Cricetulus griseus: one gene and its partners. The protein of the gene in region 7 interacts with the protein of the main gene of each other region in a pairwise test. Links are inferred from orthologs where the notes say so. Each region holds a gene or a part of one and is shown on either strand. Other genes may lie near its edges.

Evidence for each region.
Region 1: the proteins of protein N-terminal glutamine amidohydrolase (region 7) and nucleoside diphosphate kinase A interact in binary tests that used the Homo sapiens proteins (3 or more experiments, as listed by UniProt). The two-hybrid records come from large-scale screens. The link is inferred for Cricetulus griseus from reciprocal best matches to the Homo sapiens genes NTAQ1 and NME1.
Region 2: the proteins of protein N-terminal glutamine amidohydrolase (region 7) and Pygm interact in binary tests that used the Homo sapiens proteins (3 or more experiments, as listed by UniProt). The two-hybrid records come from large-scale screens. The link is inferred for Cricetulus griseus from reciprocal best matches to the Homo sapiens genes NTAQ1 and PYGM.
Region 3: the proteins of protein N-terminal glutamine amidohydrolase (region 7) and Nt5c1a interact in binary tests that used the Homo sapiens proteins (3 or more experiments, as listed by UniProt). The two-hybrid records come from large-scale screens. The link is inferred for Cricetulus griseus from reciprocal best matches to the Homo sapiens genes NTAQ1 and NT5C1A.
Region 4: the proteins of protein N-terminal glutamine amidohydrolase (region 7) and Vcp interact in binary tests that used the Homo sapiens proteins (3 or more experiments, as listed by UniProt). The two-hybrid records come from large-scale screens. The link is inferred for Cricetulus griseus from reciprocal best matches to the Homo sapiens genes NTAQ1 and VCP.
Region 5: the proteins of protein N-terminal glutamine amidohydrolase (region 7) and Cby2 interact in binary tests that used the Homo sapiens proteins (3 or more experiments, as listed by UniProt). The two-hybrid records come from large-scale screens. The link is inferred for Cricetulus griseus from reciprocal best matches to the Homo sapiens genes NTAQ1 and CBY2.
Region 6: the proteins of protein N-terminal glutamine amidohydrolase (region 7) and Prps2 interact in binary tests that used the Homo sapiens proteins (3 or more experiments, as listed by UniProt). The two-hybrid records come from large-scale screens. The link is inferred for Cricetulus griseus from reciprocal best matches to the Homo sapiens genes NTAQ1 and PRPS2.

Annotation. Positions count from the first base shown.
Region 1 is NC_048600.1:106,879,626-106,883,898, reverse strand, and holds the start of nucleoside diphosphate kinase A, read left to right. Parts: upstream 1-1,473; 5' UTR 1,474-1,632; intron 1,633-2,282; exon of another isoform or gene 2,283-2,342; intron 2,343-4,201; exon of another isoform or gene 4,202-4,204; 5' UTR 4,205-4,208; coding exon 4,209-4,273. UniProt on the Homo sapiens protein: Major role in the synthesis of nucleoside triphosphates other than ATP. The ATP gamma phosphate is transferred to the NDP beta phosphate via a ping-pong mechanism, using a phosphorylated active-site intermediate.
Region 2 is NC_048596.1:52,966,922-52,970,421, forward strand, and holds part of Pygm (glycogen phosphorylase, muscle form), read right to left. Parts: intron 2,335-3,500; coding exon 2,223-2,334; intron 2,129-2,222; coding exon 2,046-2,128; intron 1,652-2,045; coding exon 1,508-1,651; intron 1,206-1,507; coding exon 1,113-1,205; intron 853-1,112; coding exon 706-852; intron 566-705; coding exon 402-565; intron 30-401; coding exon 1-29. UniProt on the Homo sapiens protein: Allosteric enzyme that catalyzes the rate-limiting step in glycogen catabolism, the phosphorolytic cleavage of glycogen to produce glucose-1-phosphate, and plays a central role in maintaining cellular and organismal glucose homeostasis.
Region 3 is NC_048595.1:29,783,641-29,787,791, reverse strand, and holds the end of Nt5c1a (cytosolic 5'-nucleotidase 1A), read left to right. Parts: intron 1-1,657; coding exon 1,658-1,842; intron 1,843-3,285; coding exon 3,286-3,651; downstream 3,652-4,151.
Region 4 is NC_048595.1:100,551,592-100,555,091, reverse strand, and holds part of Vcp (transitional endoplasmic reticulum ATPase), read right to left. Parts: intron 3,118-3,500; coding exon 3,005-3,117; intron 2,520-3,004; coding exon 2,355-2,519; intron 2,269-2,354; coding exon 2,146-2,268; intron 1,703-2,145; coding exon 1,490-1,702; intron 1,326-1,489; coding exon 1,017-1,325; intron 789-1,016; coding exon 633-788; intron 1-632. UniProt on the Homo sapiens protein: Necessary for the fragmentation of Golgi stacks during mitosis and for their reassembly after mitosis. Involved in the formation of the transitional endoplasmic reticulum (tER).
Region 5 is NW_023276807.1:229,960,913-229,964,972, forward strand, and holds the start of Cby2 (protein chibby homolog 2), read right to left. Parts: upstream 2,801-4,060; coding exon 2,726-2,800; intron 2,404-2,725; coding exon 2,323-2,403; intron 1,688-2,322; coding exon of another isoform or gene 1,640-1,687; intron 1-1,639.
Region 6 is NC_048604.1:102,122,873-102,127,036, forward strand, and holds the start of Prps2 (ribose-phosphate pyrophosphokinase 2), read right to left. Parts: upstream 2,801-4,164; 5' UTR 2,638-2,800; coding exon 2,516-2,637; intron 2,280-2,515; exon of another isoform or gene 2,148-2,279; coding exon of another isoform or gene 2,047-2,147; exon of another isoform or gene 1,971-2,046; intron 1-1,970. UniProt on the Homo sapiens protein: Catalyzes the synthesis of phosphoribosylpyrophosphate (PRPP) that is essential for nucleotide synthesis.
Region 7 is NC_048603.1:29,486,347-29,490,549, reverse strand, and holds the start of protein N-terminal glutamine amidohydrolase, read left to right. Parts: upstream 1-1,403; 5' UTR 1,404-1,507; coding exon 1,508-1,596; intron 1,597-4,203. UniProt on the Homo sapiens protein: Mediates the side-chain deamidation of N-terminal glutamine residues to glutamate, an important step in N-end rule pathway of protein degradation.

The DNA of each region.
Region 1 (4,273 bases), on a different chromosome or scaffold from region 7:
ATGGTTATAGAGCACCTACTGTTATTGCAGAGAACCAGAGTTCGATCCCCAGCACCCACATCAGATTACTCACAACTGTTTGTAACTCTTGCTCCTGGGGATCTGACACCTCTCTATCTTTGTTTGGGTCTCTATTGCTGTGAAGGGACACCATGACCACTTTAACTCTTAAAAAGGAAAAGATTTAATTAAGGTGGTGTCTTATAGTTCAGAGATTCAGTCCATTATCTTCAAGGCAGGGAACATGGTAGTGTACAGGCAGACTTGGTGCTGGCTACACCTTGATCTGAAGGCAACAGGAAGTTGACAGGTAGTGGGGGGTATCCTGAGCATAGGAAACCTCAAAGCCCACCTCCATAGTGACACCCTTTCTCTAATCACTCCAACAAAGCCATATCTCCTAATAGTGCTATGAGCTTATGGGGGGGGTTGACCACCTCAAACATAGACATACACATGAACACATAAACAATCACAAATAATACCAGATGAGACGCCTTTAATCCTAGTACACAGGGGACATAGACAGGTGGATCTCTAAGAGTTAGAGATCAGCTGGGTCTACATAGTGAGACCTTGCCTCGAAAAAACAAAACAAAACAATAATAATTAAAAAAAAATCCTCTTACATCTCTGTGAGTTTGAGGCCAGCCTGGTCTACAGAGCAAGTTCCAGGACAACCTCCAAAGCAAATACAGAGAGACCCTGTCTCGAAAAAGAAAACAAAAGACGTATAGGAGGAGAAAGCTTTGTGGGGCGTTGGTGGTTTAATCCCAGCACTCGGGAGGTAGAGGCAGGAGGATCTCTGTGAGTTCGAGGCCAGCCTGGTCTACAGAGTGAGTGCCAGGATAGCCTCCAAAGCTACAGAGAAACTCTGTCTCAGGAAACCAAAAAATCCTCTTACAACAATAAAAAAATTCTTCTACTGAGTTTCCTACCATCCAAGGCTACTATAATTCTCCGCTCTCTAATAATAGGCTTGCTCCTTTATCACTAAACTTCATGTAGGTCTATTTGATTTTCACTTCTGCAGCGATTTCTCAACCTTATTTTTCTTCCCTGCTCTGATCTTTCTTCACAGCACTTACATAACTCCGTGCGTTCACTATCAATTTCTTTTCATTGTTTGTCCCAATTTTCAACCCTCCCAGAAACCTCAAGTGAGTTTACTGCTTTATCCCTGGGTTCTAGAACAGTGCCTGCTGGGCACATAGTATTTAGTACATTTGCTGCTTGACAGGGCGAAGAGAAGCGGAGTGACTGGGGCTTTAGTTCTATTCCGTGCAGTGTGAGCGCCACCTCCCGGGCAACCAAATCGTCTCGGGAACGGAGGAAGTGAGTTACACGACAGTAGGGGCAGGAACAAAAGATGGCCGCCAGCCGGAAAAGCCGGGGAGGGGGCGGGGGGATACACACGACAAAAACAAAAACCACACCCAGTGCCGGAAGTTAAACCCTGGAAAGAGTGCCCTCCTACTCACCGGAGGAAGCGGGGACTGGCGGTGTTCCACCAAAAGGGCTCTCCTGAATCAGAACTGTTCCGAAAGGTTCCGTGCGAGCCGCTGCTCGAAACCACGTGAGGCCAGGACGTGTTTCCGGTGCAGCCGGAGAGAGAGACTGGCTTCTGAAGGGGTGAGAGGGGTTCGGGTGCTGAGGGAAAGGGAACGTTGAGGGCCTAGGTAAGCGGAGAGGGAGGTGGGTGTGAAATGAAGGGAAAGGGGTGCATTCTCTGAGAGGCGTTGAGGAAGATCGCGGCCTCGACTGTGGACAGGTGCAGACCTGTCAGCCTGACACGTGGGCTCGCCTTTGTCTGTGGCCGCAGTTCCTGTCAGACTGCGCCGGCACGGCTGTGCCTTACCCTCCTTCCAGCCCTGTGCTGAGCGCAGAGCTTGCTGAATAAATGACACGTGTGTGTGTGCGTGTGTGTGTCTGTGTGTCTGTGTGTGTGTGTCTGTGTCTGTGTGTCTGTGTTCGGTGTGCAGAGCCTTTCATAGGGGCTGTTTCTGAGGGATCTATTCTTGTTCCACATTCCTTCAGAGATTCTCCAGCTTGTCTGCGGGTTCTGTCTGTCTTCGGAAGGCATGATTGGCCTTTTAAAGCATCTTCTTTGCTCCTATTGACTGCCAGGCCCTGTGGCTTGGAATCAAAGCAGGGGCTGGAGTAGATCAACTCTTTTATGCAGGTCACAGATCCGAGAGGCGGGAGAGGGGAGGAAGGCACCAACAGAAATGATCATTAAAAGATTATGTATTATTGTATGTTCCTGTGCATGCATGCCTTAGCACACTTGTGAACACACCAGAAGACAACTTCGTGGAATGGGCCCGAGGGACCAAACTCAGGTTTGTGGTACAAAAACCTTTGCTCACTGAACCATCTAGCTGGGTCAGGCCCCATTCTTTATTTTATTTTATTTATTTTTACTTTTGGCTTTTAGAGACAGGGTTTCTCTGTGGCTTTGGAGGCTGTCCTGGAACTAGCTCTTGTAGACCAGGCTGGTCTCTAACTCACAGATCTGCCTGCCTCTGCCTCCCGAAACCTGGGATTAAAGGCATTCGCCACCACCGCCCGTCGCAGGCCCCATTCTTAATGTATAAAATCAGAGGTTAATTCATGTTTAGGCAGCCAGGTCCAGGAGCTGGTGTTTCTATCCTCTTAGGTATTGTCTTTCAAGGTGGAGTCTTCTTTCATTTTGTGGGATTGTGTTCCCTGGAAATGGAAGGTTCTGGAATGGATGCTCTCCAGGTGTCTTCCCTCAGTGATGATGAATTGTGCTGTGGGTCTCCCATAAGCCACTGTTCATTGACTACTCATTGCACTTTCCCCCAGTACACAGTTTAATAAATGTTAATTGCTATTCTTACTAATGGACCTTCAATTTTCTTGTCCTTTTATTCTCTGACAGTTTTATACATGTATGTAATAGTTAGTCATCCCCCTCCTCCATTACAATCTTTGGCTCTCCTGTTCCTGTTGAACTCCTTTCCTGTGAGTCCCCTCCTACCTTCATGTCTTTGTGTGTGTGTGTGTGTGTGTGTGTTGGGGGGGAGACTGAGTTTAATTAGAATTGCGTGCTTCATTGATGGAGGAGTTAATTGCTGGAGCAGCTTACCCATGGCTGTATCCCTGAAGAAAATGATACCCACTCACCCACAGCCGTTAATCACCGTTAGCTTCCTAGGCAGGGGTAAGGCCTTGGGCCTATGAGTCCCTCCCCTTCTGTGATGGAGCATAGTCATTGCATCTTTTCTCTCTTTTCTCTTGTTTCTTGAAACAGAGTCTTATGTAGCTCAGTTCAGGTTGGGATCATTGACATGGGCTACCACACCTCCCCACTACGCTCAGCTCTATTTTCTTTTCATTCCCCTTTTTTCTTTTTTGAGTCAGGGTTTTAGGTTGCCCAGGCCAGCCTGGAATCCTCTGCCCTTTGGCCTTAGCCTTCCTAGTGGTAGGATTATTGGCACACATCCTCAGTCATTACATCTTAGGGAGTATCCCAAACTGTATAGGGCTGGGAAATCTTATTCTTTGTAGAATGAAGATTGTTGGTTTTTTTTTTTTATTTTTTATTTATTATGTATACAACATTCTGCTTCCATGTATATCTGCACACCAGAAGAGGAAACCAGATCTCATAACGGGTGGTTGTGAGCCACCATGTGGTTGCTGGGAATTGAACTCAGGACCTCTGGAAGAACAGTCAGTGCTCTTAACCTCTGAGCCATCTCTCCAGCCCCCAAAGGTGGTTGTTATGACATAGTCTCTAAAACTCTTGTGGGTTCTAATGCTGTTGGTCATACTGTGTTGAATCAGATGTAACTTTCAGTAGGAAAACCATATCATTGCATTTTCCCCTTACTGGTATTACCACAAGAAAAAAAAAATTGGTATCTTTTTAGTGTGTCTTAGTTTTATGTCTCCCTTTTTAGTTCTATCACAGTATTAAGTACATAACAGAAGCTCAATAGGAGTGTATGAAATCAAGTAGATTAGAAATTACATTTCTTCTTTTGAACCCTTTTCTACTTTCAGATCAAAATTCATTGATGAGTGAACTGGGCAGGGATTGGGATTTTACTAGAGAGACTTAAAGTAGACATAATATATTAAATCCAGTTTTATGAGAGAGTAATCCGCTTGAGAAGGATCATGATGAGGGAGGGTAGAGATTCTGTCCTGTTTCATTCCCTGCTTATCTCTCCAGGACCATGGCCAACAGTGAGCGCACCTTCATTGCTATCAAGCCTGATGGGGTCCAGCGGGGTCTGGTGGG
Region 2 (3,500 bases), on a different chromosome or scaffold from region 7:
GAGGCTCCAGCTCATAAAAGTCCTTGAAGCTGCAGATTGGGGTTGAGTGAGGGTCACCATTCACCTCTGCAGAGCCCTCCCACCTGGCCCCCTACTTTATTTACTTATTTTTTTCCTGAGAGGGGCTAGGATGCAGGTGCAGACCTGGGGCAGATTCTGGAACAGGGTTGTACCAGAAAGGGGCTAGTGTGTTCTAAGAATGGGTCACCCCTGAGGTGGGGAGACGGCTCAGCGTTATGGATGCTTGCCGCTAGGCCTGCCCTGCGTGACCACAGAGTGAAAGGCTAGAACTGATGCACTCAGGGGAGGGATCAGCCCAGGAGGCCCTGTTTGATGCCATGTGAAACGGCAGGGTCCACATGCGGAAGAGTGGTGTGGGCGGGGCTTGTGGAGAGGCTCACATGGTTTTCTTGAGGATCTCCGAATGGATGCGAGCCACACCGTTGACTGCGTGGGAGCCAGCAATGCACAGGTGTGCCATGTTGATACGCTTCACTGAGCCCTCCTCCACGAGTGACATGCGCCGCAGCCTGTCTACATCCCCAGGGAATGCGGCCGCCACCCTCTGTATCCCCAAAAGAGCCCAGAGCTAAGACCAGGATCCTGACCCAGGAACCTTAGTCTCCAGACCCCCCTTCCCCCCACAGGCTCAGCCCATACGCCTCCTGACTTCAAGGGACCCACTGCCACACCGGCCCAGCTCACATTAAGGAAGCGCTGGTTGATCTCGTAAATGATCTGCAGGTGCCGGGGCAACAGTGTCTCCATGAGGTGCACGGGCCAGCGCTCCAGGGCTTCCGGCAGCACTGTATGGTTGGTGTAGGCACAGGTCTTCACTGTCACATCCCAGGCCTGGCATACAAGGAAAGAAGTCAAGACACGTTCTTCACGCGCCGTGTAGCTTGTGCGTCCGCGTGTCGTCGTCCTGTGTCGTGTCCGGCGTGTCCCCACCTCCACCCCCACCCCCAACTCCCGCCAGAGCCCAGCTGGGTTTCAACCAGCCTTCTGGTCGATTCTCCTTGTTTGGCCCCCTACTGTCCTTCCACCTCACACTGGGAAGGAGACCCTGGAGGCAAAGTGGCACCTGTAAGGGTAAATTGAATGAAATCTACCTTGTCCCAATCCATCCGCTCCAGGTCCACCAGAATCCTCATCAGCTCAGGGATAGCCAAAGAGGGGTGGGTGTCATTGAGCTGGATGGCCACCTGTGGGGATGAGTGGGACGTCAGGATGGATCCCAGAGCAAGCACCATTGTGAATGCTCCTTGCCCCTTCAGAGCCCCTAAAAGGCCCAATGTAGTTATGTGGCTGGTCTGGGAGCAGGCCTGGTGACAGCTGGAGTAGGGTGCAGCTGACTGAGAAGGAAAGCTGCAGTGGTCTGCCTGGTGCCTGAAGATACTGAGCAAGCCATTCCCCCACACACGTCCAGCTTCCACACATCTGTGGAAGGAGGAGGCCATGGGACTTAAGAGATGGGGAGACAGAAGCCTTCGGGCCAGCAGGCTACCTTATCGGGGAAGGCATCAAAGTTTGTGCGCACAGGATCACGGCTGCCAAACTTGGAGGACTTGAAGCGCCGGATGATGTCCTGGAGGGTGGCGGCCACCACAAAGTACTCCTGCTTCAGCCGAAGCTCCTTCCCTTCAAAAAACTAAGGGAGGTACAAGGCAGAGGGTAGTTGGGGTGGCAGGGTGTGGAGCCCTAAGTTGCTGTGGGTGTGACCAGGAGAGCCCCTACCACACTAAGTCCCAGAGCCCTAAACTGCTCCCATCTTCTGGACCCTGGAGCCTTTGCCCCACCAAATAACTGTAGCAGATAGTATCAGAAAGACATAGATGAACTAGGAGTCCTGTGAGGGTCCCCAGGGAGACAGCTCCCAGGAAATATCATACCCCACCCCCTCCTTGGGATTCAAAGGATCTGATAGGACACATAGGGACAGCAATACAGTGGGACTAGGACAGTTGCAAAGGTCCCCACGCCCAGCTCCCCTGTCCCTCTCCAAGAACTTGGGTTTCCAGCCTCCAAACTGAAGGGCAACGCACATTATCATTGGGATACAAGACGCGTGAGATGTTCTCAGCCAGGTTTCGGTCCAGCACAGCTTGGATGTAGCCACCAACGTTGACTGAGGGACAAAGTGGATTGGGGTGAGGCTAGGGATATGGGCATGGGCCAGGCAGGGCTAACCAAGGCTGCCAGCTACCGGCAGAGGGACTCACAGTCCTTGAGGTTGAAGTCATTAGGTGCTTTGGCCGACCAGAGGCGCATAGTGTTGACAACGTTGTTTCGATAGCCAGGCACAGGTGTGTCGTAGGGCATGGCCAGCACTACCTATAGGAGGTACCTGAGTCAGAAGCTGGACATGCCACCAGGGTCCAGGCCTGAGCAGTGCTGGAGTTTGGTTTGTGGGGCCTCCCTGACCAACAGCTGAGGCTTAAGCCACTGGCACTGAACTCTGCTAGTGCCTGAGGTAGTTCCAGCACAGAGCTTACTAGTTAGATTGCCAGGAGCAAGCTGTGGGACCTCTGAGCCTCATCTATAAAAAGAAGATAGGTGTACTGCTGCAGACCTGGAATCCCAGCCACTGGAGAGGCGAGGCCAGAGGATCACAAGTTCAAGGCCTGCCTAGGCTACAGGGTGAGTTTAAGGCCAATATGGGTAACTTAGTGAGGTCCTGTGTCAAGTAAAAGAAAGAGAGCTGAGGATACAGCTCAGGCGTAAGACACTTGTCAAGCAGGTTCAAGGACTGTACACTCTTCAGCAGTGCAGATAAATAAACAAGACCTCTCCAACATCCCCACTGGACATCCCAACATCTCCTTAGACTGCAATGAGGATTATGGAAGGGAGAGAGGGACAGACGCTGAACCCCACCCAAGTGAGTCTCTGTTGATGGCTGCTCTACAGCCTGGCCTGATCAAGTGAGAGCACACTGGACTCAGGAGAGGGCTGGGGAAACCTGGGTTCGAGAGGAAGGTTACACGGGGTCAGTTCTATCCAGAGGTTTTATATCTAGCTGACTACAGGGCTAGTTAGCAATAACCAAAGCCAGCCAGCCTCACCTCCCATAATCTATAAGGATCAATTTGCTACAAAGACCTACCTGCTACCACAATGCCAGGGTCACCTCCAGAGGACTGCCTATATGGGGCTTCACCTTCCCTCCCTGACCCTGAGGTATTAACACCCTTGATGGGGCAGAGTGGAATGCAGGTGAGACAGACAATGACCAGGTGGCTCATGTCCCCATTACCCAACACCACAGACACTAGATTGAAAACCAAAGGGAGGCAGGCAGGTAGGTCTGCAAACTTCGAGCCAGAGCTAAATGTGCCAGGCTGCCAGGAGCAGCACTGACTGGGCCCTAGATGAAAGAGCAATAAACATCACTTCTGAAGGTCTAAGGGTCTCCGTGCAGCCAGTTCCACCCCAGAGGCCTCATTTCCTCTCCTGCTTCCCTCTCTAAGCTGTTGCCTTTATCAGGTCCCCAGCGCAAA
Region 3 (4,151 bases), on a different chromosome or scaffold from region 7:
GTAAAGTGAAAACAAAGCCCTACCTAATCCTCCTTCCCATCTCCTGCCCCACAGTGTACATTCATCAGCATCACCTAGCCCTCTGTTTCCATAGAAACTTGCGTTACAGCCCAGAATGCTACTGTTTTCCAAGATTCCTCTGGGCTGATGGGAGTTCTGATTCCTATGTGATCAGGAAACTTCTATCCATCACTGGGCCAATGAGAAAGAGGGAAGGTCCATATTTAGCCCAGCCTGAGTGGTAGGCTTTCAGAAATGGTCATCTTCCACAGCTGGGCTGGCCAGTGCTATGGTGAGATTAGGGGACTCTTGATAATGAAAAGTCCATTCTCTGTTCCCCTTTCAAGGGGCAGTTTGGGGTGACAGACATGGTCTCAGTCCTCCCAACAGGAGCCCACAGAGGAGGGAAGACTGACTGCCCATTTGCCTGGATGTGTACTCAGGCTGGACACTCAGGTTTCCTCTGTTAACTGCCCTCTTTTCCTTTCCTTGTAGTCCCTCTGTAGGTGAGGCTTTCTCTAATCAGGACCCAGAGGGCATTTCCTTAAACACATCACACCCTTTGTTTGGGGTTTGGGAACTAACTAACCTGCAGGTGTGCCTCTGTGCATGTGGAATTTGACTTTTGGTCTTGGGAGTGTGGTTAGATGGATTTCCTGCTCAGAACAGGGTGCTTCTGGGTCATCTTGGCATTAGGTTGACAGAGTTGAGAAGGTACATAGCCTGATACTCAGGATGTAGTCCTACCCTGGGCATCCTTAGGCTAGTGAAGCTGCTGTCAGACCTGTACTGATAGCTCTTGCCAGAGCTCTGTGGAAGTCTACCTCGGTGATCCTAGATTCCCAAGGAGCAGGGTAGAAGAGTCCTGTAGAGAGATGATAACTATTGAGGGGGATTCAGCTGATTTTAATCTGGAGTCTTGGTCCCTGACTGGTGTCCTTGCATTGCAGTAGAACAGTGGTTGCAGAAAGTCTATACATAGTATCACAAGTAGCTTATATTGTCTCCCAGGACCGAGCACATTATCTCACAGTCTGAACCAATGTGACAGCAGTGTACCTGGGTGCTGGGTGGCTGAAGACAGGGTGTCCACACCCACCCATCTCTACTGCAGCCTGAGGGCTCAGCCTCATACAGACCTGAAAGAACCCTAATTTTACCTTGGCCCAGAGAAAGTATATAACTTGGAACCAATAGCGAAGGAGTGGCTGCGTCTCAAGGTGTGCTTCCCTGTCTGCTGCAGGTCCGTCTGGGGTGAAGAACTCCAAACAGAACAGGGTGGTAGCAGTCCTGTGCTCCCAGCCAAGACTGTTGTTTGGCTAGTCCATACCAGCATCATCATCAATGTTAAATTGTTCAAATTTTTTCATGCTGGCTGATAAATAGCTTTTCAGTGTCCTGCTGCCCAGGGACACCCCCAGAGCTCTCCACGAAGATATTAACGAGGTGGCCTTTAGACCTTGATGGGTACCCTCAAAGCTATAGCTGCTGCGTGTTCTTGTAGCCAGTACTCACGGACTACCGATTTTAAAATGTCCTCAATATGATGAGTCCTTGTTAGGCTTGCCTTCAGTCCTGGGGAAGCTGGTGGAGCAAGGACAGCATGAGATACCTTCTCCTGTCTCCTGGAAGACAACACTTACCTCTCTGTGTGCAGGGATTGCAGCTGCCACCATCTTCAGCCCCAGCAGGGACGTGGTTGTGTCCCAGAGTCAGCTCCGCGTGGCCTTCGATGGGGACGCAGTACTCTTCTCTGATGAGTCAGAGCGCATTGTCAAGGCCCATGGGCTGGACAGATTCTTCGAGCATGAGAAGGCCCATGAGAACAAACCTTTGGCACAGGTGCTGCGCATTCCCAGAACCCCTGAGTAGCCCTCATTCCCCGGAACCTGGCCTGGCCTGAACTCCCAGGTCAGGGCCAAACCCTGGCTAAGCCCGCATCCCCACCAGGTCCTCTTACCAAGACTCAAACCCCCACTCCCCCACACCCATCTCTGCCTTAGGTTTTTCAAGGCAGGGCTTCTCTGAGTAGATCTGCCTGCCTCTGCCTTCTGAGTTCTAAACCTCTCTCTCACTTGGCCCCAGGGTCCTTTCAATGACTCTGCCCCTTCACTGAGTCCCACCCCTCATGCAGTCTCCTTCCCCGCCTCTTGGGGCTTCTAAAGTCTCCCCAAGCATCTCTCTGAAGCCTCCCCTGCCTCCCTGCTTTGTTCCTCCAAATCCCTTTCTAAGGTCTCATCTCCTTTCAGAAGCCCCACACCCATTCTGAGTCCCCACCCCTCCCTAAAACTCGGAGTCACACCCCCAATCCACTGTCCTTTCCCTGTAACCCTCAGCTCTTCCCTCAAGATCCCCTTGTGAGCGAGCACCTACCCCCCAGAAGCCCATGTTTCCTTCACTGGGAGACAAGAAGAACTCTATTGTACTGGTGTGGGGAGCTGGGCCAGTGGCCTTGGGCCACCTCTTGCCATGCCTTGCTTAAGTGGCTCAGGGAGCCTCACCTACCCTCATACTTCTCAATTGCTCTCTGAGAACAGAGCCTGTCTTGGAGCTAAATTCCCTGTAGATGGAGCATTGGGATTCTCCAGCCCTACTGGGAACTCCAGTTTGAGCTTTTTAGAAATCTAGGTGCCCAGGGCAGGACACTTTTCCCCCTGAGTGGTTGATAGAGAGCTGCCAGAGGAACACTGCTTACCCCAGGTTACCCAGTTAGGACCCCCCCCCAAGACTAGCAGCCCATTTTCCTTGTTTCCAGTTGCTTTGGAAATGAGCTACATTCTATCCCGTTAAGTTCTTTATTCACATACCGGCAGTACCTCCATTGCTGTGGACACTTTCCCTGACCCCAGGGACCTTGAGCCACATGTGGGTCTGTCTGTCCACAGGCAGGCTCACATTCAGTAGCCCATCTGGCCCAGATAGTCACATATAGAGTCCATTCTGGCTGGCAGGCTCCCATGACATCATTACTAGCTAGTTTAAATTCCTTCTTTGCTAATGAACACAGACAGCCACACTTACAGGACAGATCGCTGAAGGAGACGTGGATAGATAAGCCTAGCAACAGTTGCCCTGGTTATGGTTATTCAGACACAGCCCCAATCACGTTAAGACAGACTCCAGACTACAGGTACCTACAACCCTGTATGTTGTAGCCAGAAAGGCAGAGCAAAACTACCAAAAGATTTAGGGATTTCCCACCCCAACAGCCAGTCACTTGTGCTTTAGGATGAGAGGGCAAGTGTTTAGGAGAGGGTATCTTACAGTATCTCCTTAACTCCACAGGGCCCCCTGAAAGGCTTTCTGGAGGCACTGGGTAGACTGCAGAAGAAATTCTACTCCAAAGGCCTGCGGCTGGAGTGCCCGATTCGCACTTACTTGGTGACAGCTCGCAGTGCAGCCAGTTCTGGGGCCCGGGCCCTCAAGACCCTGAGAAGCTGGGGCCTGGAGACCGACGAGGCCTTATTCCTAGCCGGAGCACCCAAAGGCCCCCTTCTTGAGAAGATCCGCCCACACATCTTCTTTGATGACCAGATGTTCCATGTGGCTGGGGCCCAGGAGATGGGCACAGTGGCCGCCCATGTGCCTTATGGTGTGGCCCAGACACCCCGGAGGGCGGCTGCTGCAAAGCAGACTCTCAGTTCCCAATAGCAGAGTCACTTGCTCCAGGCTTCCTCTCACACTTCTGAACCTCATCTGGAGAACTTTCCTGGCCTCCTCACTGTCCACCCTCCTGCATGCTGCCCTCTCCCCTCTGCTTAGGTACTGTAAGGAACTTAGGAAGACTGGGCCAGCATCCTTGCAGTCCCTGCTGGGCAAACATTGCCATGATCCTGACTAGGAAAGCAGGACTCTGCAGGGTAGCTTAGATGTCATGGGGAAATTAGTGGGGCTGAGAGTGGCACCGTCAGAGAAGCCAGGATGCCAAAGAGCTTGGGATGAAAACTCTCCCATGCAGTGCACAGAATGTTGCGTGAGAGAGGGTGGATTTGGCATGAAAAGCAGACCTGGCATGGACTGCATGACTTAAGTCCCCCTTCTTTTTTTTTTTTTTTTTTCATAAGCCTCAGTTTATCCCCCTCTTTTAGGTGGTTTCCAAGCCGACCTTTAGTCAAAGCTTGTTTTCACAAGACTGTGCCCTAAATGAATCA
Region 4 (3,500 bases), on a different chromosome or scaffold from region 7:
AACAGTGGAACTACAGTAGAGACAGAATTGTAAATTTCATAGTTTTTACATTCTTATACTTAATTTTTCTATTTTGAGAGTACAAGAATTCCCTTCCCCACCAGGATGCTGAAGTCCAGACTTCAGTTTAAAAATCCTTTTCCAGAGGGTTCGAGAGATGCCTCAGCAGTTAAGAGAACTGGCTGCTCTTCCAGAGGACCCAGGCTCAATTCCAGCACCCATATGACAGATCACAACTGTCCATACCTCCAGTTCCAGGGAATCAGACACCCTCACACACATATACATGCAGGCAAAACACCAGTGCATATAAAAATAAAATTAAATAAATAAAAAACCCTGTTCTGTTCTGTTGCACAATCATACTTTCATTTCCCTCAAGGCATCAAGCTTACCCAACCCAACCCTTTATCTCTAAAAGTCTCATGTAGGGCCCTTTATTTCTCATCTTGCTGCATTCACCGAGAGCTGGAATATGCCTGCACCACACCCAGCTTAGCTGTTTATTCATTTTCTAGGATTCCCTGCTTAACATCTCAGTAAAGGGACCCTCCTAATACCTTCTACTCTCAACTCTGGGTCATGGAGGATGGTCCCTAGAATGGCACATTTGAACAAAGATACTGACTCACCATAGCTGATGGATTTGTCTGCCTCTCTCGTTCTCGCCTAATCTCACTCTCAATAGATTCACGAATGGCCAGTTTACAAGCACGTTGGCAAATCTCTGTCAGATCAGCTCCAGAAAAGCCATTTGTCATCTTAGCCAGGAACTCCAAATCCACATCCTAAAGGAAGCAAAAAAGCTACTTAGTTTAGCATCGTTAACTGCCTCCCATGGGACACATAGATCTTTGAGCTACTCTTGGCTCTGCCACCCCATTTTATTCTGTATCTCTTAAATTATCCTAATATTCACAAATCTCTCATATTGCCTTTAGAAAACCTACAAATCCCCAATGGCATCCTATCCAGGATAGAAAAAAAGGCTTCATGGCTGACAACTTTGCACATGCCTTGGCAACTGGAGACTTGCGCAGGTTAGCCTTCAGGATGGCAACACGGGACTTCTCATCAGGAAGTGGGATATAGATGAGCTGATCAAGACGGCCAGGTCTTAGGATAGCAGGATCAATGATGTCAGGCCGGTTGGTAGCTCCAATGATAAACACATTCTTTTTTGTGGACATGCCATCCATTTCTGTCAGGATCTGATTGATGACTCGGTCAGCAGCTCCACCACCATCTCCAATATTACCACCACGAGCCTTGGCAATTGAATCTAACTCATCAAAGAATAGTACACAGGGGGCAGCTTGCCGTGCCTGGGAGAAAGAAAGAGATCAACTCAAATATTAATTAATCTCTCAAACTTCAGAAGAAAGCAATCACTGAGCTGCCAGTAATAAAATAGTTTTGACTATGAAGAAATAGCCTCCTATCTTACCTTGCCCCCAAACATATGAACAGCCAGCCTCTGAAAACTCACCTTGTCAAAAATTTCCCTGACATTGGCCTCAGATTCCCCAAACCACATGGTGAGCAGCTCAGGACCCTTGATAGAGATGAAGTTAGCCTGGCATTCATTAGCAATGGCTTTGGCCAGCAAGGTCTTCCCACAACCAGGAGGTCCATAGAAGAGAACACCTTTGGAAGGGGTCATTCCAAATTTGAGGAATTTGTCTGGATGCTCCACAGGATACTAGAAGAAAGCAAAGATGATTTAAGGGCAACCTCTCAATATTTTAAATAAAATCGTTATTAATCAGAAGCATAGGGCTGGAGAGGTGGCTCAGCAGTTAAGAGCATTGACTGTTCTTCCAGAGGTCCTGAGTTCAATTCTCAGCAACTATCTGGTGGCTCACAACCACCTTGAATGATATCTGGTGCCCTCTGCTGGCATGCAGGCAAACATAATAAATAAATAAAATCTTTTAAAAAAATCAGAAGCATATCATCTACTTTGTGGCACATCCTATGGTCTATGGTGCTAGTTTTTAAATAGGCTCCTTACTACCTAAAACTCAGTAAGAGCAGGCTTCTGAATTATAGTCACAATTCTAAGTAGATTTGAGTCTGAGACCTAAACGGCCAATTACTATACATTGAGGCAATGACCCACCACCCTAGAGCAAATTGGCCTACCTGAACCAGTTCCTGAAGCTCCCGTTTGACATCTTCCAAGCCTCCAATGTCTTCCCAGGTTACTTGTGGCACCTCTACCACAGTTTCCCGAAGTGCTGATGGGTTGCTTTGACTCAAGGCCCACTAAAAAGGGTGTTTGAAAAAGGGGAATGAGATGGAGGGTGGGGGGTGCATACAACAAAATAACTATTTGTGGATATAGTCCTTACCCGGAAATCATCCATAGTAACTGCCAAGGAATTCATGACCTCTGCATCAATGGTCTCATCCTCAAGATCAATAAGGTCCATTTTTTTCCGGATGGCCTGCAGAGCAGCCTCTGAACACAGGGCTGCCAAATCAGCACCTACATGGCCATGAGTCTCATTGGCTACCTGCAGAGAAAAGATCTACTGACTATCCTCAAGAAACCACTTCCTTAAGAAGTCAGAAACAGAATCCTGAGTCCACCCCGATTCCTATCTCTGATTCCTTTTATTTCCTTAAAGAGATATATACTACAGCAGACCTTTTAGTGGCAAGTATTAAATACTTAAGCCTGGATTTGGGAGCTAGAAATAAAGCTGTTCAACAATGTATGAATTACTCTTAACAGAGCAACAATTAAGAAACACATTTTCTACCCTGAAATCAAAATAAGCTCCATGCAGCTCTAAAAAAAAAAAAAAATGAAAAGATAGACTCTTGCTGGGTAGCCCACACTGACCTCAAACTCAAGATCCTCCTGCCTCTGCCTCACCCTCCCCAAATTCTGGGATTACTGATATGAACTCTTATCTTAGACTATGTTAGTAGTCCCTTGCAACTTCCTAAAAACAGAGCTACCCAAGGTTTTGGCCAGCCATCATCACCACTCCACCTGTTCCAAGTCCACATCATCTGCCAGTTTCATGTTCTTGGTATGGATCTGAAGAATTTCCAAGCGTCCTGTAGCATCAGGGATTCCAATATCTACCTCTCTGTCAAAGCGACCTGTGGGAAAATGCAGGAATGTAAAATAGGAACAATTTCTGGTCCACAGTGAAGTCACTCCAAAACTCTCTTATTTAGAGTTAACATTAATGCCTCACAACCTGGAAATTCTTCAGGTTTAGGGAAACCAAGACGGGTAGTTACTCTAGAGCAATGGTTCTCAACCTGTGGGTCACAACCCCTTTGGGGTCAAAGGGCCCTTCCCATATCAGATATTTACATTATGATTCGTAACAGTGGCAAAATTAGTTATGAAAGTAGCAACAACGTAATTTTATGATCAGGGAGCTCACCACAACATGAGGAACTGTATTAAAGGGTGGCAGCATTAGAAAGGTTGAGAACCACTGCTCTAGAGGGAATACAGAATAGAAAAAAAACAA
Region 5 (4,060 bases), on a different chromosome or scaffold from region 7:
AGAATTATCCTCTTCCTGCTTTTCAACACCAGCTGCTTACTTAAGTGACCTAGAGATGACTGCTGACTAAGCCTGGCTGGCCATGAAAAATCTCCAGACAGCAGTGACCTCTTCCTTCCATATTCTTCTGCCTTCCAAGATCCAGGTCCCACAGCACAGGAAGTAGGCCTGAAAGGACCAGAACAAACCCAAGACTCCTCAAACACCTTTTCTCCTTGACTGCTAAGCTGGCGCTGGGAGCTAGGGACAAAGTCATGCCAGGGGTAGATGGATCTTTCTAATCTTTCTATGGCATGGCAGTAATGAAGGCTTTGTGTCAGCTTGCTAGATTAAGAAACACCCAGGGCATTAGCAAGGCACACATCCTTGATGTGTCTGTGGGGACTTTATGGGGAAGGACTAACAGAGGGGAGGCCCATACTTAATGTGGCTAGTGCTTGAAGGGACCAGCTTCCCTTTTGGCAGCCATAATGACCAAACACGTGCTCTATGACCTTGTCTTAGTCACTAGAAAGTCAGATGCCTGCCTCGTGACAAGGAAACAATCAGAAGTTAGTCACTAGAAAGTCAGATGCCTGCCTCGTGACAAGGAGCCAATCAGAAGTTAGCTGATAGCGCTATGCTTTATGACCCTGGGTGTGCTTTATGGACAAGCGCACAGCAATGACGCACAAAGCATAGCAACCACCCTGGGAGGGCCTATGGGCCATAACAGCCAGTTGACCAATCAACACAGGGCAAACCCTCCAAGCCTGGAGGCACACCAATCCTGAGCCTGTGCATACCCCTAAACACTCCCCTTATGCTGCCCTATAAAGATCTGTATGCAGCAGCTTCAAACTGTCTTTGCTAGCCATCTGCCATGGTGGGTGGGTCAAAGACCCGAGCTAACATGGTGTTAGCTCGTTAAACTACAATAAAGCCTCATGCAATTTGCATCTAGCTTTCGCCTCCATTCTGTGATTGGGGTGGCCGAGGTCCTGGGCTAAGATTCTGGAAGCCTCAGCTTTCCAAGGGTCTTACAGTGCTCATGAACTAGCATCCTGGACTGAGAAAAACATGGATCTGCAGTGATGTGAGGCAGCGGCCCCACCCCATAGCTTCCACTTCACAACAGATTTACCCCTCAACCAAGATCCAAAATAAAGACTTCCTCCCTTAACTTGCTTCTTGCCAGGTATTTGGTCACAACAATGTGAACAGCAAGTAATACACCTACTTTCAAATCTTATTCCCAGCCCCATTCCCACTCCCACATCTGGGCTGGTATCTCCTGTCTGCCCCTAACATGTGGGCTAATAAAGGTACCAAAGGAACCACGGCCACCCTCATGCACAGATGTGTAGTTTATGTGTCAGGGATCAGACCTAGCAAGGTTCCTTGTTCTTCTATAGGATGCCCAGGACATAGTTGCCTAATAATCTGGCTTAGCTATCATGAGCTGAAAGAGATGTAACTGTGGCTGCTTACTACAATGCTGTAAGGAAAAAAAATACCCAGGTGGTTCTCTTGTCCTGTGTTTCTGTCTCCTTCTCACCATATTTGCTGAGCTCATTATAATTACACTAATAGAGAACACCAGCCAGAGATCCATCCTCTTTGTACATACCTCCTGAGACCAAACTTTTAGGGAAATTACCTGTGCCTTGGATCCCTCCATCCTACATTTCTCCTCCACTGGTTGCATGACCCTGGTCTTCCAATGAGCTCTTGGGTAACACTGGAGAAAGCAAGGCCACCCCTTTGTGACATAGCAACAGAAGGAACACTCAAGTAAAAGGGGGTCCCACTGAGAAAGTTGCTGTGTGCAGGAGATCTGGAGACCACAAGCTATAAGTGTTTTAATCATTCACTGGCTTCAAAAGAAACAAGTGAACATTCATCCCCAGTAAACCATCTTTGGCCCATGGCAGGGCTTAATCCTCTTGACCATTGCAAGTGGGCTCCATTCTGGGGTTTCAGCTCCTGTGTTCATTCTTATGCATCTGGATTCAAGGTTGACTCTAGTTCTCTACAGATGTCCTGAGTGGTTATACACTACCATGCAATGAAGGGTCTCCTTTGGGAAGGTTAGACTTTTGTCATAGTATCAACAAATCTTGAAAGGCTAGTGCTGGAGGACCTGACCATCCAACTCAGTCTCCTCATTCAAGGCCAGAGGACCCCAAGGTTCAGAGAATCCATGTGTCCTCCTCAAGACAAATGGGCAGGAAAACAACACCAACATGACAAGAATCTGAGTGGCTGACTTCGCTGTTCATTCTGTAAGGCTTGGAAACAGGGTTATTCTAGCAAGTTACATTCTTCCATGATTGTCCCTACCTGAGGTAGAACCACATTGATTGGAATTTCTAGGCTTTCAGATCTGGTATCTCTCTTTCTTGTAAAAATTGGCCTCGAGTGCTGTGAAAAAGAAAGAATCAGATTTCTCCTTCTCAACCCATCCTCAGGGCCTCAGTGGCTCACCTGAAACACATAACCTCTTTCTACACATTTATGTCCTTCTGACTAATTTTATACCTTATAAAAATCACAGTCTCAAGGCATGTGTACATGGCGCCTGGCCAGAAGTCTTACTGCTCAGTGATCAGGAACTGATCGACACTGATCACTGAACAAAAAACCAAGACAGGAATGAACTGATATGAAGCCCTCTTACAAGAAGAAATCATTGCAGCTCTTCCTGGTTTTACACTACGATTTCTATATAAGTAAAAAGCCATACCAATGTGAGGTGCCAGGTATAGGTCCTATGCATAAGCTGGTCACCAAAACACTCAGAACATTCCAGAGGTGACATCACAGAACAATATGGTGTTTTTCTGAGCTCATGGTTTCTCTCCGGGCATCTCAGGTGGGAACGAGGCTTCTGCAGGAAGGAAGAATTGCTGCTGGCTGTGCTCAGGTGGCCAGCCCGGGTCAGTGTGACACACAATAGCCCTTGTTTGGTCAGCTGGCTGCCACTCACACCTCACTGCCAGGCTGGCTTGAACCTCTCTACCTCCCATCAGAGGTGGCATCTGTTTCAATCACATTAATTAGGAAAAGAGAAACATTAACTGTCTAGACCTGGAGAGACTTGGCACTACTGAGGAACTCCAGTCCAGTTCCACTCTGATAATAGCTACATGTCAGGTTCCGAGAAGTTAGGGGCTCGGCCCTAAAAGATGATCTTTTACTTCAAGTACCAATCCCATATCAGGGCCACCTGTACTTGTAACTGGTTAGCCATGCAGGGGTTACCCTAAGCTGCTCCTCAGGTTCAATAGCTGTCTCTCAGAACACAGGAGAGTAATTTACTTAGGATCACAACTTTAAGAAGCATGCAGCTCAGGAGGGGCCAAATGGTAATGATAAAGGGTGAGCTGTTTGACAGGGTAGTGTCGTAAACCTTCTGGCCTTCTCTGGACACACCTGCCTCCCAGCATCTTCAATGTCTGAACCCAGTTGTTTAGAGGTATTTGTGGAGTTCCATTATGTAGGCAAATTTTATCAAATCATTAGCCTTTGATCACTTAACTAAATGTCAAATCCTTCCAGAGGTAGACGTTTGCTGAAAATTCCAACCTTCTAATCACCTGATTGGTTCCTCTGACAATCACCCCCCACCCCCAAAGTCATTCCCCTAGCATAAACTGATGTGTTTCAAAGGAGGTCCTGTCAGGAAATCCCAAGGGTTTAAGAAACACTGTTCTGATAGAAAAATACAACCAAACATATCACATGTAGAACCTGCATTAAGGCCAGAACACTCATCCCTCCATCCTTAGCTCTGTCAAATCTGTCACCTCCAGATCCATTTAAGAGCCCCAGTTCTGTGTGATTTTGCCCCTTGGGGTAGGAAGAGAGTAGGTTTCCGGGGTTTCCTCAATGAAACCCATGTTCCTGGGGTCTGGATCAGTCCCATGCTGGTAACCCAGCTATCAGTCTGGGGAGCAAGAGTTCCCCCATGTTCAGATCAGTTGTTTCTGTGGGTTTCCAGCCTGGTCTGGACCCCTTTGCTCTTCACTCGTCCTTTTCTGCATCTGGATTCCAGTTCAGTTCAATGATTAGTTGTGGG
Region 6 (4,164 bases), on a different chromosome or scaffold from region 7:
AAAATGTAGCTAGGTATTGTATATGTCTGCAATCCCAGCACTTGGGAGGTGAAGGCAGGAGGACCATGAATTCAAGGCTGGACTTACCAACACAGTGAGCTCTGGACCAGGCTAGGCTACATGAGACCTTGACACAAAGAGAGCAAAAAGCAAAAAAAAAAAAAAACAAAACAAAACAAAACAAAACAACAACAACAAAACAACCACAACAAATAAAAGAAAAACCCAGCCCAACTAACAAAACACAAGAAACATAACACAGAGCTGAGGAGTCTTGGACACCTTATGATTTCTAATGGTCAAACCTGGTTAAAAGAGAGCCAAACTAAATAAAAACAAGTCTGCTTTCTATTTCAAATAAATGTATGAACAATTGCATTTGAACATCCCAGTGAGTTTCACCCAACAGCCCATATAGGACTTGTAGCAGAAATCCAATACTAACCCAGCAAGGCACTCATCTGGAGTAGCCGTGCTCACCAGCAAAGAATCGTGCTGCACTGAGATAACAAGGAAGAGTAGCCTTACTTACTTTCAAAACCTACTCCCTCCATCCAGAAATGTCTCCTTTATTTACATGACAACACCTTCTGAACAAAGACGCTTATTCTACTAGTGTTCTCAGAGCTGCTGAAACTTGGCCAGGACTGACAAAATCCTGCAATATTCAAACCTAGCTCCATTCTTCTCCAAAGTCCCAGAAACCTCCATATATTAAACTCTACAAAGGGAGCTGTGGATGTAGCTCAGTAGTTGAGTCTTCCTGCCTAGCATGCACAAGGACCTGGGATCCATCCTCAATACTGAGAACAAACAAACAAAGGCAAAGTGACCTTTATATGTTTAACTAAGCTGATCTCAATCCCCCTATGCAGCCAAGGATGCTTTTGAATCCCTGCTTCTCTTGATTCTTCCAAGCAAGTGCTGGGATTGTAGTGTATGCTACAACATCCTGTTTTGATATAGTACAAGGGACCAAATCCAGGGCTTCATGCATGTTTGGCAAGCAACTCTGCCAACTGAGCTATATCCCCAACCCCAAAGGAACATTCTTAGCCTGAGTTGTCTACACAGTAATAACATCTGCCATCTGCTCCTCCTATTATCATCCAAGGTGTGTAACTGGAGTTTACCACCTAGAAAAGGTCACATGTGAAGCACACAGCCTTTAGAAAAAGATTATCTTTGCCATCGATATTAGCCTGACTCTTAGCTGGGTCTGGTCCCACAGATACCTGTAATTCTAATACTTGGGAGTAGGGGCAGGGGTCTGAGAGTGTGAGGCCTGCCGGAGGCTACACATGAATTCACCACGCTCCTAGATACTATAGACAAACCCAGTCTCAGAAAACCAAAATAAAACAACAACAAAAAATGTCCCCAACTTCACAAAATCTCGATTGACTTAAAGTCGTCAAGATTTTCTTTCTTCTGGAAACATCAAAGTTTTAGATTTGACATTTCTGTCTATGATCCATTTAATTAATTTTTTGTAAATATGGAGAATGGTGTGTGTGTATTTTTTTTCTGTAAACTTTTGGAACCCTAACCTTGCCAAACATAAAATGTAGAATTGTTATCTTTCACTGTGCACTGCATAGTTGGTTACCTGGGTTAAACAGAATGAGGAAAAGAAATTGGTCTCCCTTGGGACAAGGAGTACCCCAGTCCACTTTTGGAGGAGGGCTACTGCCTGCCTGGTTGCACTGAATACTGGTGACCACCTCTTGCTCACGTGTGAAATGGGTGGAATTTTTCCCAAACTAGGGTCTGGCGGCTGGCTGTAAGCAGTTGAGCTCCATAAACACAAAGAAGCTATTAGTTCGCGACATTTGATGCAGTAAAGTTAAAGGAAGCCCAGGGGCGCCCAACACGTGCGTCCTGCGTTCACAGGCTCTTTCCAACTCTCACACAAACCCACCCTTCTGGATAAGGCAGTGCTCAACACACAGGCTGCTCGGGAAAGTCACCTGAGCAGCTGGCAGCACTCTGATCGCCGGCGGCTGGAAGTTCGAAAGTTCCCCAGGTAAACCCAGTGCCCCGGACCTGTGCAGAAGTTTTTCGACCAAGCTCAAGTCTGGGGCTTCGCCTGACAGAGTCGGAAACTGGGGCGGGCGGATCCACAGATGTCTCCCTGCCCCCACCATTCCCGGCACCGATGTGATGCCCACAGGCTGCGCCCACTCTTTCAGACACGCTGTGACTGCACCGATGTCGCCCTTCCGGACTGAGTACACCAGGCGCAAAAGAGGGGCTTGGGGTGCCTAGGGGGTCGACAGGTCGCCGAAGTCAGGGTGCTGGAGGCCGGGCCACCAGAGGGACAACAGCGCGCAGAGACTCCAGGGTGACGGGGGGGGGGGGTTCCCTTGCTGGACTTCTTTCTCCCTGGGCGCAGCCGCGGTGGCTCTGAAGCCGCCGCGTTGCTGCTGTCCCGCCCCGGAAGGGTGAGCGCAGCGCCCTCGGAGGTGGCCCGGGCATGCGATGGCTCCTGCCTCAGCCCCGATGTGACTCCCACCTGGTCTCCTGGTTGCTGAACTTCTTGGTAACCACCTTGCCCAGCTCCAGGCCCAGGCGATCGGCCACGCGCTGCGACAGGTCCTGGTGAGAGCTGCCGCTGAAGAGCACGATGTTGGGCATGGTGATGTGCGGGGATTGAGGGGCACGCTGCAAAAGAGAAAGCGACAGCGACGCAGACTGCTGCTACTGCTGCTACTGCCTCTGGCGCTGGCGCTGCTGTTGCTGCGGCGGTGCCCGCGGTTGCTGGTGGAGCGGGAAAACGCGGCGGCGGGACCTAGGGGAGGGGAGGAGCTGGGGGAGGAGCCAGAGAGAGAGAGAGGAGGAGGAGGAGGAGCAGCGGACTAGTTGCTGGAGGGTGTTGGGAAGCGGCTTCTGCCCACGCAGGCTGGGCAGCAGGTTGTGAAGTTCTGGGTGGCCCAGAATTACCCAGGTGCGATTGTTTTGGAGGGGAACGCGATGTACTTCACTTTACCTCTCTGACTTGCTTTCAAGTGGGGACATCAACGAATCAGATGGAGTGGGCACAGAGAACGAGCGATTGCGGCAAGGGGCCATAGGGGTGTCTCGCCTTTCAACCCGGAAGCTCAGAACCCAGAGGTTATACTTAGGGTTCAAGTGCACCCAGCGTCCATGTGGGAGAGACCCACACAGCGGCCTGAATTTGCACCTGAGAGTGAAGCGTGTTTCACTTTGTGTGACGGTGTACACTACCTTTGAAGCTGGACTAGGCAAAAGAGTTTCCCACCAACGAGAATTCCCTTTCTCATTAATTTAGACGTGTATTTTGAAAAATTATCTCAAATACTACTTTGTTTTCGATTTTCCATTAATAGCTGAAAATTCGTTTTCTTCCATATTATATAAATGCCTACGCAAAATCTTCTGTTTTGCCTCTTGGTCCACGAAGCCTGAAAATTTTAGCGTCTGGTTCCTAATAGTTAAGTGTGTTGCTCCTTGAAGGAACCATTAATGTGAGCCACCATTTGAGCCCTAAGCTCAAGTGCAAGGGGGGAAAACCTGTTTTCAGGTGGCCCATTGACTCCACCCAATGGGCTTGGAGTCCTCATTTTATGTAGATAGGCTGGTGCTCTGGCTCCCTTCACAACACTCTGTCTCTTGGGCTCTATTAATGTCTACAGAGAATTGACTTGTCATCCACAGCCAAGGCCATTTGCAGCTGAATTGTAGCCCACTCTAAAGGTACTTCCTGTGTTACTGTGATTAGGGAGATTGTTCATATCCTTGGATATTTAAAATCTGGATCCTTTCTAGTACTTTGCAAATTGGATGTAAACCATAGTGATGCAGACCTTTAATCTCAGCATTCTGGAGGCAGATACAGGTGGATCTCTGTGAGTTCAAGGCCAGTCTGCTCTGTTTGTCAAAACCCAAGCAAACTGGATTTATAAAAGTGTTTCTTTTGAAACTCCAATGACCTGCTTACCTGCCCCTTTTCATTCTGTTTACAAAGGTGTGTATCTCCTATTGCACTTTTTAAGCCAAGGTGATGATGTAAGTAAGCTCATCAATTGGGAGTTTAAGATGCCGATCAAAAATCCCAGGCCAGCCTGTGGTACCTAGTGAGACATTGTCTCAAAAACAACTGAAGCAGCAACAATCTACCTACTGTGGGTTTTAAGCTACACC
Region 7 (4,203 bases):
ATTCAAGCTGAAGCCGAAGCAATAAATTGGTAACAGACACAAACACATGTTTATTTTATTTTAAGGACTTATGGGTTTTGGAAGGCAGCTACATTCACCAATATACCACCAGCACAGCACTTTATGGGTTTTGGAACTGAGGTTGAGAGTCTGTGGGTGGCCTAGGCCTATAAACCAATCTTAAGAAGTACAGTTTCTTTCTCTGTCTCTCTCACTCTCTCTTTGTAGGTAAGTTCCCTGAGCAGTTACACATGTTCATTACAAACACAGGCAACTAGGAAATCTAAAGAGACGGTTCTCTATGTCCTTCAATCACTGTGCATAAACACTGTTTTGACAATGTTGGTGTCTTTCCTTCTGCAAATAAATACAATTAATACAGAATGCTACCCAGACTCTTTAATTTTTTTTTCTTTTGAGAAAAATTCTTATGTAGTTCAGGCTGGCTTTGTATTCAAAGCCATCCTCACACCTCAGTCTCCCGCATGCAGGGATTACCCAGCACCACACCTGGCTAGAACTTGTGCACTCACTAGATCAGTCTATCTTTCTATATATAAACACATGCATATATAAGTACTCGAAAATTGAAAGAAATTAAACAACAATATGGTGAGATTTGGGTGCAACCCCTCGGTTAGTTTTTTTTTTTTTCCTCTTTCTAGGTTCCTGCTCTGAAACTTCAGCTTTCAAACCCAAGCATCTCTTTCTTTCTATATAAAAGGTTGCATATATAAATAGCCAAAATTGAAAGAAATTAAACAACATTGTGGTGAGATTTGGGTGCAACCCCTCGGTTAGTAGTTTTTTTTCCTGCTCTGAAACTTCAGCTTTCATGCCCAAGCATCTCTTTCTTCCTATATAAAAGGTTGCACAGATAAATACCCCAAAGTGGAAGAAATTAAACAACACTATGGTGGGATTTGGGTGCAACCCCTCGGCTAGTTTTTTCCTGCTGTGAAACTTCAGCGTTCACGCCCAAGCATCTCTTATTTTAGAGCGGGCTGGCAGCCTCAGCGATGGATGAAGGGGGTCAGGAAGCTCACACCTGACCGTCCAACACCACCAGGCCTCCCACCCCCCACCCGATGGCGACCAGGTCCACGCAGCGCAGCGCGAGCGCCCCAGCTTGGCCGGGGGAGGCCTCTCCGTGGACCCCACCCTGCCTCCCACCTCGTAAAGCCGGGCGAGCAGCACACAGATCTATCTCCTCCGCAGCCTGGGACTCGCCGCCCGCAGCAGCAGCTCCCGCAGCCCCGCCCCGCCCCCAGCCCGGGCTCCACCCACTCCAGAGACCCCGCCCACCCGGAACCACGCACACACACAAACACCGGGCTCCGCCCCCATGGCGCGCTGAGCCCCGCCCACCGGCTCTAAGCCCTTCCCCCCGGAAACGGCGCCTGGCGGGCGGTCCGGGCCGTGTGCGCTCCGCCCGGGGCGAGTGTGTGCTGTGCCGCCGCTGCCGCCGCTGCCGCCGGCGGGTCGGGTGCCTGTCCCTCGGGCCTCCATGGAGGGCGACGGCCCCGTCGCCTCGGTCCCGCAGTACCAGCCGGCCTGCCCTGCGCGGGACGCGTGTGTCTACAGCAGCTGCTACTGGTGAGCGCGCGGGCGCGGGCGCGGGCGCGGGGCCCCCGGGGCGCCGCCAAATGCTTCCCCGTCCCGGCGCTCTCCGGAGCGCTGCGGGCCCGCACCGTCCGCGGGAGGAGGGGGCGAGCGCACCCCTGCTCCCCGGAGCTGAGCGGAGGCGTCCCCAGTGCCTGGGGACAGACTGAGGTCCCCGTGGTTTCAGATCCAAGTGCAGGGCGTTTTTCATCTTGAAGACAACGGAGACCCAGAGTTTGTTTTTTGGTTTTTTTTTTTTTTGCAGATTTTTTATTTGAATTAGAAACAAGATTGTTTTACATGTCAATCCCAGTTCCTTCTCCCTCCCCTCCTCCCCTACCACCCCCCCAACTAAAACCCTACTTATCACATATCCTTTTTTCTGTTCTTCCCCTGACTCAACTTTTCTGCTCCCTCATGACCTCTGCATCCCTCCTCTTCTTCCCTTCTCATTCTCATAGCTCCTTTCCCTCCTTTTCCCATGCTCTCAATTTGCTCAGGGGATCTTGACTCTTTCCCCTTCTCCAGGGGACAATGAATGTCTCTCTTAGGGTTCTCCTCGTTTCCTAGCTTCTCTGGCAGTGTGGATTGTAGGCTGGTAATCCTTTACTCTATGTCTAAAATCCACATATGAGTGAGTACATACCACGTTTGTCGTTTTGTGATTGGGTTACCTCACTCAGAATGGTTGGACAGAGGGTTCTTTTTTAAATTTTTAATGTTAATCATTTTTTTATTTGAATTAGAAACAAGATTGTTTTACATGACAATCCCAGTTCCCTTCTCCCTCCCTTCCCCCCCACTACCCCCAACTAAAACCCTACCTATCACATGTCCTTTCTTCTATTCTTCCCCTGACTCAACCTTTCTGCTCCCTCATGACCTCTGCATCCTTCCTTTTCTTCCCTTCTCTTTCTCGTAGCTCCCCCCCCCTTCCCATGTTCTCAATTTACTCAGGGGATCATGACCCTTTCCCCTTCTCCAGGGGACCATGTATGTGACCCAGAGTTTGAGGTGGCGGGAAATCCAGTCAGGCAGCAGACAGCGCTGTCCTGATCATCACAGCACTGTGGTGATCATGGTGGTGGTAATGGTTGCATTTGCACCGTCCTCGTCCTTGTCCTCACCAGATGCCAAGCGTGATCTTAGGTGCTTTGTGTAAATGGACTTGGTTGAACGCCACAGCAACCCCCAAGAGGCAGGTACTGTTGCAGTCAGAACCTTGAGGGGGCTGGAGAGATGGCGCATTGGCTAAGAGCACTGGCTGCTCTTCCAGAGGACCCGGTTCAGTTCCCAGCACCCACGTGGCAGCTCACACCTGTCTGTAATTCCAGTTCCAGGGGCTCTGATGCCAGTGTGCATAAAATAAAGTTAAATATATTATTTTAAAATTAAAAAAAAAAGAACTCTGAGGCGCACAAGGTACGGGATGGCTGTTACTCAGGGCCTCAGGTTGTGAGGCTACTTGTCCTAGGCTGCCGCTCGCCGCTCACCTTGGCTTTTTCATCTCCACACCTTTTCTCTTGTGTAGGGACTTCTTCCCCAACCCAGGAGAAACCTCAGGGTCATCCAAATCTACTCCTCCCCCCTTCACCCGGCCACTCAATCAATGACACTACGAACTTAACGTTTATTCATCTGTCACCTTGGTAGCCCAAGTCCAAGTGCCCCGAGTGGTTCTCAGCCTTCCTAATGCTGCCACCGTTTGGTACATTTCCTGATGCTGTGGTGACCCCCAACCATAAAAGTATTCCGTTGCTACTGTAATTTTGCTACTGTTACGAATCATAATGTAAATATCTGATAGACGACCCCAAGGGCTCGTGACCCACAGGCAATGCCTTGGAGACAGGTTCTATGATCATTATCACCAGGACAAGTTGAGGGATCATCTGTGAGCTTGAAAAACCTGTCCATCTTAGGGTTTTACCCGGAGTGTGGATGTACAGGAAGTAGAGTGGGGGGTGGGAGGGTTAGAAGGATGCTTTGCTCGTCTCTCATTTCATTTATTTGTTTGTTCATTTATTTATTTATAATGTGTATGGGTGTTTTGCCTGTGTATCTGCCCATGCACTGAATGTATAACTGGTATCCAAGGAGGCTAGTGGGCTGAGTCTTTGGGAGGAGCAGCCAGTGCTCTTAACTGCTGAGTCATCTCTCCAAACTGCCCCCCCCCCCACCCCCAAGACAGGATCTCACTGTCTGTCCTAAAGCTTGCTACGTAAACCAGGCTGGCCACCAACTCACAGAGCTATGCCCACCCCCACCTCCTGAGTGCCGGGATTAAAGGCCTGGGCTACCATGCCAGGCTTGCTGATCCTATTTTGTGGGATACTCTTAGAGATAGGGAACAAAGTCCATCTGAGTATCAGTGGCTGTCTGGTTTATTTGTTCAAGGCCTGTGTTTTTCCAACCTCATTTTGAACTTACCTTCTCTGGCCTGTTGCAGGGTTCTCAGCTTTGGCTCTGTTGGCATTTTGAGTATCAAGCCTTTGTTCCATGAGTTTTAGGGTAGGTAATTACGTTTCCTGGCCTGTATCAGACAGATGCTATTGCCAGGTTCCCACACCCCCCAAGTTGTGACAGGTAAACACTTCTCTA